2 linked regions of the Arabidopsis thaliana genome follow. The protein of the gene in region 2 interacts with the protein of the main gene of each other region in a pairwise test. Each region holds a gene or a part of one and is shown on either strand. Other genes may lie near its edges.

Region 1 (4,963 bases), 3.2 Mb from region 2:
GTTAATTTTATCAAATGTATATTCTTAATCCCATAAATAATCTAATAGAGCAAAAACTTGCAGTTTATACCTTTAAGGTTTTGAATTCTTATAATAAAACGTTTAGTTGTCAATATTGCTACTTTTAACCTTTAAATGGTTATTGTGTTCAGGGTTCCACAAAATTAACTGACAAATTGATTATGTTAACAAAAGATATTCATTTTTGTTATAAATATTGATATGACTCTAATAATTATTTTTCTTTTAGTAAACTTTTAATATCTATTAAATTTTATATTTATGACTAATAAGATATTTGATAAAAAAAAATCATAAGATATTTTATAAATCAACAAAAATATAAAAACATTTTTGTTTTGGGTAATAATTATATTTTAAACTGTTAATAAAAATTCCATTACTAATAAAAAAATATTCTAATATAAGTTAACAGTATTTTTTGTTTTTACGTTGTCAACTTAACGTAGTAAATATTTCTATTGTTTAATTCCAAACCATTAGCTATTAGCTTAAAGGCAAGTGTTTTTTTTCTTCTTCTGTTTGTCTTAGAAAGAACTAGTATGGTTTGGGTTCATATGAGGTGGGTATCAGGTTATCACGTGCATGGTTTTAGTATAGTTTGGATCCAGCTCCCATCCTAGACTTCTAGGCACCTTTAATATTTGATTACGACGAAAAGGCTTATGTGAATCGAAAAGCCCAACTTCTTAATTTCAAAGCAAATTAAAAAAAAAAAAATCATTTTAACCTTTTTGGAAAATAGAAAGGTAAGGTGAATTTGAATTTCTGAACATTTGATACGAATGCAAAACTCAAGATGCACATTTTTCAAAGTAATGCCCCTAGAATTGTTTGCAAAATCTGCTGTCTAAAATTTTTTTGCTAGGATCGAACCGATTTTCGATTGGGATAGACACGAATTATAAATCATATTCTAATATCATATTAGATTATAGACTTCCGATTCAAAACTTATTGGCAAAAAATGAACTGACTCATATAATTTATATAACCATTAAAATCTTATCTAATTTCTGATTTAAGGTTTCAAATACAAATTATTCATAACCTAATTGATATGAGTTTCACTAGCGATGAATATGATGTACTTATGTACTTATGTTACATAAGGGATAAGGCCATTTGAAAAAAAAAAGTTGTAATAAAACTTAAACCCAAGAGATAGGATTGAAAAACATAAATGGCCCATGTAACTATAATCAGCTGGGGTACATTGGAGAACACCATTAGACAGTCCAAATACAATTGGGAACCACGTGAATCTGATAGATATTTGATACTCAACTCAATACTATATTTATTATTTCAATACGACAATCTCATTCTCTAACTTCTTTCATACTAAAATCTCACTTAAAGTATACCCCATCTTTCCCTTTGCAACGTTTGGTAAAAATGCATACCATAACAAATTTTAGAGCAAAAAGCAAAAAGCAAATGAAAATTCCTTTCTTAGGGTTTGAAGTTGAAACTAGAGAGACATGTCTCACGTGGTGTCCACATGTCTTTTATCTTAAAAAGTTCATTGTTTGCTTCCTCTATAATTATTTTTCTCATATCACAAAAGTAACCACAAAATTATTAAAATCTTAAATAATACATAAATCAAAATAAAATCATACGTAGAGCATCTGATTATAGTTTTCATTTCTTTGTAGTAACATGTCCGAGATCTTGATTGTGTTTTCGGTACCATTCTTTGTCTCCACCCAAAGCTATATCATATCTCTCACTCCCACAATTATTACTTTTTGTTATTATTAAATAATAAATATCCTTTCTCCAAAATAATAAAAATAATATCTAGAGTATAAAATAAAATAAAAAAACTTAGCCTCGTTCTTCTCCCTCTGTCTCTCTCTCTCTCTCGGTTCTCTTCTTCACTGAGCTCAAAGCGATTACCTCCCATGGGAAAAATCTCTGAAGTGATTATTTAGCACTACTTTTTCTTTGTCTCCTTCTGAATCCATTTTTTATGGATCTTGGAGTTCGTGTTTCTGGTCATGAAACCGTTTCTTCTCCGGGTCAAACTGAACTCGGATCTGGTTTCAGTAACAAGCAAGAAAGATCCGGTTTCGATGGTGAAGATTGCTGGAGAAGTTCAAAGCTCTCACGAACATCAACTGATGGATTCTCTTCTTCCCCTGCCTCTGCTAAAACGCTGTCGTTTCATCAAGGCATCCCTTTACTGAGATCTACCACTATTAATGATCCTCGTAAAGGACAAGAACACATGCTTAGCTTCTCTTCTGCTTCAGGCAAATCAGATGTCTCACCTTATCTTCAGTACTGTAGAAACTCAGGTCTGAACTGTAAAAACAACTAAAGTACTCTGCTTTTTTTTTTTACTTTCTTGAAAATCAGTATATGGCTTTTGCTTAGAGTTAGATTACAGAAATGGGTTTTGATTAGAGTTTGATTTAGTGAAGTCTTGATTTTGGAATATTGGTTTTGTTGTGGTGTCAGGATATGGTTTAGGAGGAATGATGAACACAAGCAACATGCATGGAAACTTGTTGACAGGAGTAAAAGGACCTTTTTCATTGACTCAGTGGGCAGAGCTAGAGCAACAGGCGTTGATCTATAAGTATATCACAGCCAATGTCCCTGTTCCATCTAGTTTACTTCTCTCTCTCAAGAAATCTTTTTTCCCTTATGGTTCCTTGCCTCCTAATTCTTGTAAGTTCTCTTCCTTATCTTTTGTTTTCAAAGATTTGAGATTATTGATCAATAGTTTTGATTCCTTTTATCTCCAATACATTAGCCAAGAATTAACTTTATACTATCTTTTTTAGTGTATAGTCCTTTGGAACATTGAATCTTGTATGGATTGGTGGTGGGTTTATTAAAGATTCTTGCTTTGTTAGGGGAATGGTGTTTTTATGAGATCTTGAGAGATTTTTTTGTTTTGTGTGATTATGAAGTTGGATGGGGCTCTTTTCATCTGGGCTTTTCCGGTGGTAACATGGATCCCGAGCCAGGGAGATGTCGCCGGACAGATGGAAAGAAATGGCGGTGCTCGAGGGACGCTGTTCCCGATCAAAAGTACTGTGAACGACATATTAACAGAGGCCGCCATCGTTCAAGAAAGCCTGTGGAAGGCCAAAATGGCCACAATACTAATGCTGCCGCCGCTGCTTCTGCTGCTGCCGCTTCTACCGCTGCTGCTGTGTCCAAAGCGGCAGCGGGGACTTCAGCTGTTGCGATGCGTGGATCAGATAATAACAATAGCCTTGCCGCTGCTGTTGGAACACAACATCATACCAATAATCAATCTACAGATTCTTTGGCTAACAGGTGAAAACGTTTAACATCTCTTGCCTTTTTGATATAACTTATCTGCATATTCTTAAGTTTTTAATGTTCATACCTTTTTCAACTTTTAAATACTTCTTTGCCCTATGAGTAAGTAGTAGACCCACCAATTCATTATTACTACATCTTTTATGATTGTGACCACTCCTTATTAATATGAGGCTTAGGATTCCATATATTTGGATTTTTTTGCTTTAATGAACTGTTTACTCTCCTTTTCTTGATGATTCAATGATGTAACAAATTAACAAGAAATCTTAATGGTTGTTTGTTGCATTGCAGAGTTCAAAATTCTCGAGGGGCTTCGGTTTTTCCTGCCACGATGAACTTACAGTCGAAGGAAACTCATCCGAAACAAAGCAATAATCCCTTTGAATTCGGACTCATCTCTTCTGATTCGTTACTTAATCCGTCGCATAAACAAGCCTCGTATGCAACCTCTTCCAAAGGCTTTGGATCGTATCTTGACTTCGGCAACCAAGCCAAGCACGCGGGGAATCACAACAATGTCGATTCTTGGCCCGAAGAGCTGAAATCGGATTGGACTCAGCTCTCAATGTCAATCCCTATGGCTCCATCTTCCCCTGTTCAAGATAAACTTGCACTCTCACCTTTAAGGTTATCGCGTGAGTTTGACCCCGCGATCCACATGGGATTAGGCGTCAACACCGAGTTTCTTGACCCCGGGAAAAAGACGAATAACTGGATACCAATCTCCTGGGGTAATAACAACTCCATGGGAGGTCCACTCGGCGAGGTACTAAACAGCACGACCAATAGTCCCAAGTTTGGTTCCTCTCCAACAGGCGTCTTGCAAAAGTCGACATTTGGTTCTCTTTCTAACAGCAGCTCGGCAAGCAGCACCATCATTGGCGATAACAACAATAAGAACGGTGATGGAAAAGATCCGCTTGGCCCGACCACGCTGATGAATACTTCTGCTACTGCTCCTTCTCTGTGAAACTGAAAAAAAAAAACTAAGGACAATTGCGAAAACAAAAACACTCTGTTTTTCTCTGTTTCTGGTTTTTCTTACTTGATGCATTGTTGTTTCTGTTGCTGTTTTCTTTCTATATAAAGCAAGAAGAAACTAAAGGAGAGATGTGTGTTTTTTTCTTCATAATCTTTGTTCTTTGTTTTTCCTCTTATTTGTTCTCAATCATCAAATTCTTGATTTTATTGTTCCTCTTATAGCCGTTGAGCTAAATCCCTGGTTTTAAGAAGTCTATGTACACAATGTTCTAAAACTGAAAAATATACAAATTTTTACTTTTTTCACTAACCACAAAATTAAAACCAAGTGTTAGTGTCACAAAATTTGTGATCCTTGAGAGATTTTGACGAGAGGTTTCCTAGTTGCAGACAAGAGGCAACATTGTTTGTGGATTGGACATAGAACACTTCTTCAAAACAACTGTCTCCAACTTTAGTTTTTTTTTTTTTTTTTTTGGGTTCTGTTTCTCCACTTTTGGGTCCCTGTAACTACTTTTTGCTCTTCTCTCTCTAACCCTACCTTTCACTTATTCCTGTTTTTGTTTTTCTTCAAGAAAAAATGAAATTGATTATAAAGAGTGGAGGAGGACCAATCTCTCAATGTATGGATGGTCCATAACGTTTTTAATTT
Region 2 (3,471 bases):
CTCACATTCACATATCATATACATTCAATTTCATGCACATGTTCGTATGCACTATTGTTCGTAACCACTTAGCTATCTCAACCATCCATCATTTCACTATCTTAACCATCGAGCCCTCAGATATAATGCTTGGCATCTCTCCATCTCTTAGTCATCTTGACCCTCAAACTTATCTGATTCTCAAGATAGTGAGAGCTCAGGACTCATAATATAGGAGTTTTAGATTTTGCTCACCATATTGGGCCATTAAGCCCTGTTTCCTTTTTTAGTCCAATCAGATCCTATAATTCCAGTGTATACCAAGCTTCCTGATCTTTAAACACTTTTAGGCAAATATAATTTCTTGTCCTTTCTTACTTAGAACCATTCTTCACATGAGAACCATCATTTGTGTATATATATTAATAACTTTCAAAACCTTAATAATGATCACGACATAAAATCTTTATAATGAGAGCGGGTCATTACAGGTGAACTCCTTTGTCCGTCATATCAGCCGTCTTAGAAGCTCGTATGTGCCCAATACTCTCAGGACCAGCCCTGAGCTCGTATGCATTAATTACTGATCTGGTTTTAAAATTTGTATATATACGTACATAGCCATATGGGATACTTCAAATGTATGATTTTGTCTCGACAGCTTTTACAAGTTTAGTCGAAGTGACCAGACAACAGCTGCAATCCGAAAGCATGTTTCAATGAAGTCGTTCTAGTCCATGACTGAAAATTTGTTATACTGAATGTTGTCGATAACTTTCCTTTTGTTAACGAATGCTTGTCGATAAATTTATATATATCCAGTATTATGATCACATAATGATAAATTAGAGGAATTTCATATTTTTGAATTGGTCTTAGCTAATACGTACCACGTAGGATCAATTTTCTCCTAACCTACTTCTTTAATATATAGTGGGTAAAATCATAAATGGTTCATTCTGATTTCACGCTGAGAAAATGATATGCTCATTATATAAGTACCGATTTCTCTAAGACAACTTTCAATCTGTCAGGAAAAGAAATTGATACGTCCGTTTCTTACAGTTACTGCATTTATTATCACTGAGACGATAATTGAGTTCTGTAGATGCATAAATAGGAATTATCTGTAGGGCATGCATATGTAAAATTAGACACACACAAAAAAATCTAAAGAGAAAAAAGCACAAGAAAACAAAAGTTTTGTTGGATTTTGCTAGTATTATTTACGACCCACAAATCTATATCACAACACGAAATTAACGGTTTATGGACTTTTTTTGTCCAATTTTCACGAAGTCGAAAATTTCGGGGAAAAAATTTCACCTAATGTTATTGGAGAACTGTAAAATAAAATTATAGATTATGTACATCCACATTCCACAGCCATCTCCGTCCGTAAAAATTTCTAAAATATAAAAAGAAAAACTGTGATTTTAAATTAGAACTTGTAGGATTACGTGTTCATAATATTTATTGAGAAGTGTATTTGCATGTGATGTTTTTCACTCGATTTTAATACGTTACTAGGCAAAAAAATAAAACTAGCACGCCATTTTAGTGACTGTTAAAATGTTCTGTTATAGGTCAGAAACAAAATCTGATCAAAATTTATTGTGAGCATTATGAACTTTTTGGAATAGTAAAAAACAAATCGAACGTATCACGAAATTATGTTTTGACGTATTCGATCGGGATATATAAAAACAAAAATGTGAATTATAAATTTAGGAATATATACGTAGAAATTCCAATAAAAAATAAATCACCTATCTCTCTCTCTCTCTTTTTATATAACTATTTTTTTCCCTCACATCTTTTCTATATCTTGCATTCTCCAAACTCTACATTTTCAGTTTCTCTGTAAATTTATCTAATATTCTTCTATTTTCCAGTAGTTATGGATAATACCAACCGTCTTCGTCTTCGTCGCGGTCCCAGTCTTAGGCAAACTAAGTTCACTCGATCCCGATATGACTCTGAAGGTCTCTCTTCAATTCATTACTCTACACTCATCCTCCTAACTCGTCAGCGTTAAATTATCTTCTCATTTAATTTTTGTTTGGATAAAACGAAACAAAAATGCAGAAGTGAGTAGCATCGAATGGGAGTTTATCAGTATGACCGAACAAGAAGAAGATCTCATCTCTCGAATGTACAGACTTGTCGGTAATAGGTAACAAATTCTCTTCTTCTGTCATGTCCGATTCAACATATTTTAAAAACAACTAGTATTTTATAAAATTAAAAAAAAAAAAAAAAAAACTAGTATTTTATAATTTAAAAAAAATTCACATGGCGAGAGTAACAAATCAAAGCTGATAAAGTGTTATGTTATGGTAAACATGATTCTAGAGTAGTTTAGACTTTCGAACGTGTTTCGAGAAAAATGACATGCCAATATTTAAGCAATGACATGAGTATTTTACTTGTATAATTTCAAAAAAAGTTTTATGTTGTTGATAAACTGATAAAATGTATAATTAACAGAAACTAAAATTTCTTCTTTTCTTAAAGTGTGATGATTTTAAAAACAGTGAAAGGATTGAATAATATATTGGCTCTTGAATATTATTGTCTTTATATATATACATTTTAAATTTCATTTCTGCATTATATATGTTGACTCCTGAATTTTGATAAATGTTTTTTCAGAATTTTGTGCTCGTCTATAATTCAAAAACACATTATATGCTTGAATATTGATTGTCAGGTGGGATTTAATAGCAGGAAGAGTCGTAGGAAGAAAGGCAAATGAGATTGAGAGATACTGGATTATGAGAAACTCTGACTATTTTTCTCACAAACGACGACGTCTTAATAATTCTCCCTTTTTTTCTACTTCTCCTCTTAATCTCCAAGAAAATCTAAAATTGTAAAGAAATCAAAATAAAAGCTTTCAATCATAAAAGTAGAACAAATCTTGAATGTCTTCTCATCATATAAATGGTTCAGAAATTGTTGAATCTCTTCGCAAAACAAATTAGAATAAGATCACCTTTTCTAAATCCGTGCTCTTAATCTTCACTTAGTTTACAATCATGGTTGTCAAAGTTATATCAATTATCAATCGTTAAGTTGCAGCTTACAACACATTATAGCAAGTGTGCCATTTCAAAGATATTGAATGAAAGAACAATCACCAAAATGTTAAAGAAAGATATTTTTAGTGTATACAGTCGACAAGCAACCTTAGATATAAAGATTCTTACAGATGATTAACCATTCTCAGAATACAGATTTAACACTCATCGCTGGCTAAATCAGGCATCTTCAGTGGGAAACTGCTTCTCCACATCCGCGACTGTCTTCTTTGCATCTTCGATCTCTGGACCTTCCTTCTCATCCGTCTCTTCCAATTCCGCCTGCAAATTCAGTTTTCATTAGAGACAAAAGACAGAGTACGAATTCACAGTTTCCTCTGTGTCCTTATTCATCATTTTTCCTCAAAGAGAGACTAAGATGGTTTCATGCAGGGGATTAATCCAATCG

Evidence for each region. The genes of interacting proteins can lie anywhere in the genome.
Region 1: the proteins of ETC2 (region 2) and GRF1 interact in a two-hybrid assay, tested with the Arabidopsis thaliana proteins (one large-scale study listed by BioGRID).

The regions. Positions count from the first base shown.
Region 1 is NC_003071.7:9,726,842-9,731,804, forward strand, and holds GRF1 (growth-regulating factor 1), read left to right. Parts: upstream 1-1,638; 5' UTR 1,639-1,999; coding exon 2,000-2,327; intron 2,328-2,490; coding exon 2,491-2,703; intron 2,704-2,948; coding exon 2,949-3,321; intron 3,322-3,621; coding exon 3,622-4,300; 3' UTR 4,301-4,460; downstream 4,461-4,963. UniProt on the Arabidopsis thaliana protein: Transcription activator that plays a role in the regulation of cell expansion in leaf and cotyledons tissues.
Region 2 is NC_003071.7:12,960,324-12,963,794, reverse strand, and holds ETC2 (Homeodomain-like superfamily protein), read left to right. Parts: upstream 1-1,632; 5' UTR 1,633-1,879; coding exon 1,880-1,964; intron 1,965-2,067; coding exon 2,068-2,155; intron 2,156-2,692; coding exon 2,693-2,858; 3' UTR 2,859-2,948; downstream 2,949-3,471. Other genes in the region: KIS (tubulin folding cofactor A (KIESEL)), read right to left, coding at 3,243-3,344. UniProt on the Arabidopsis thaliana protein: MYB-type transcription factor involved in epidermal cell fate specification. Acts as a negative regulator of trichome development, by mediating lateral inhibition.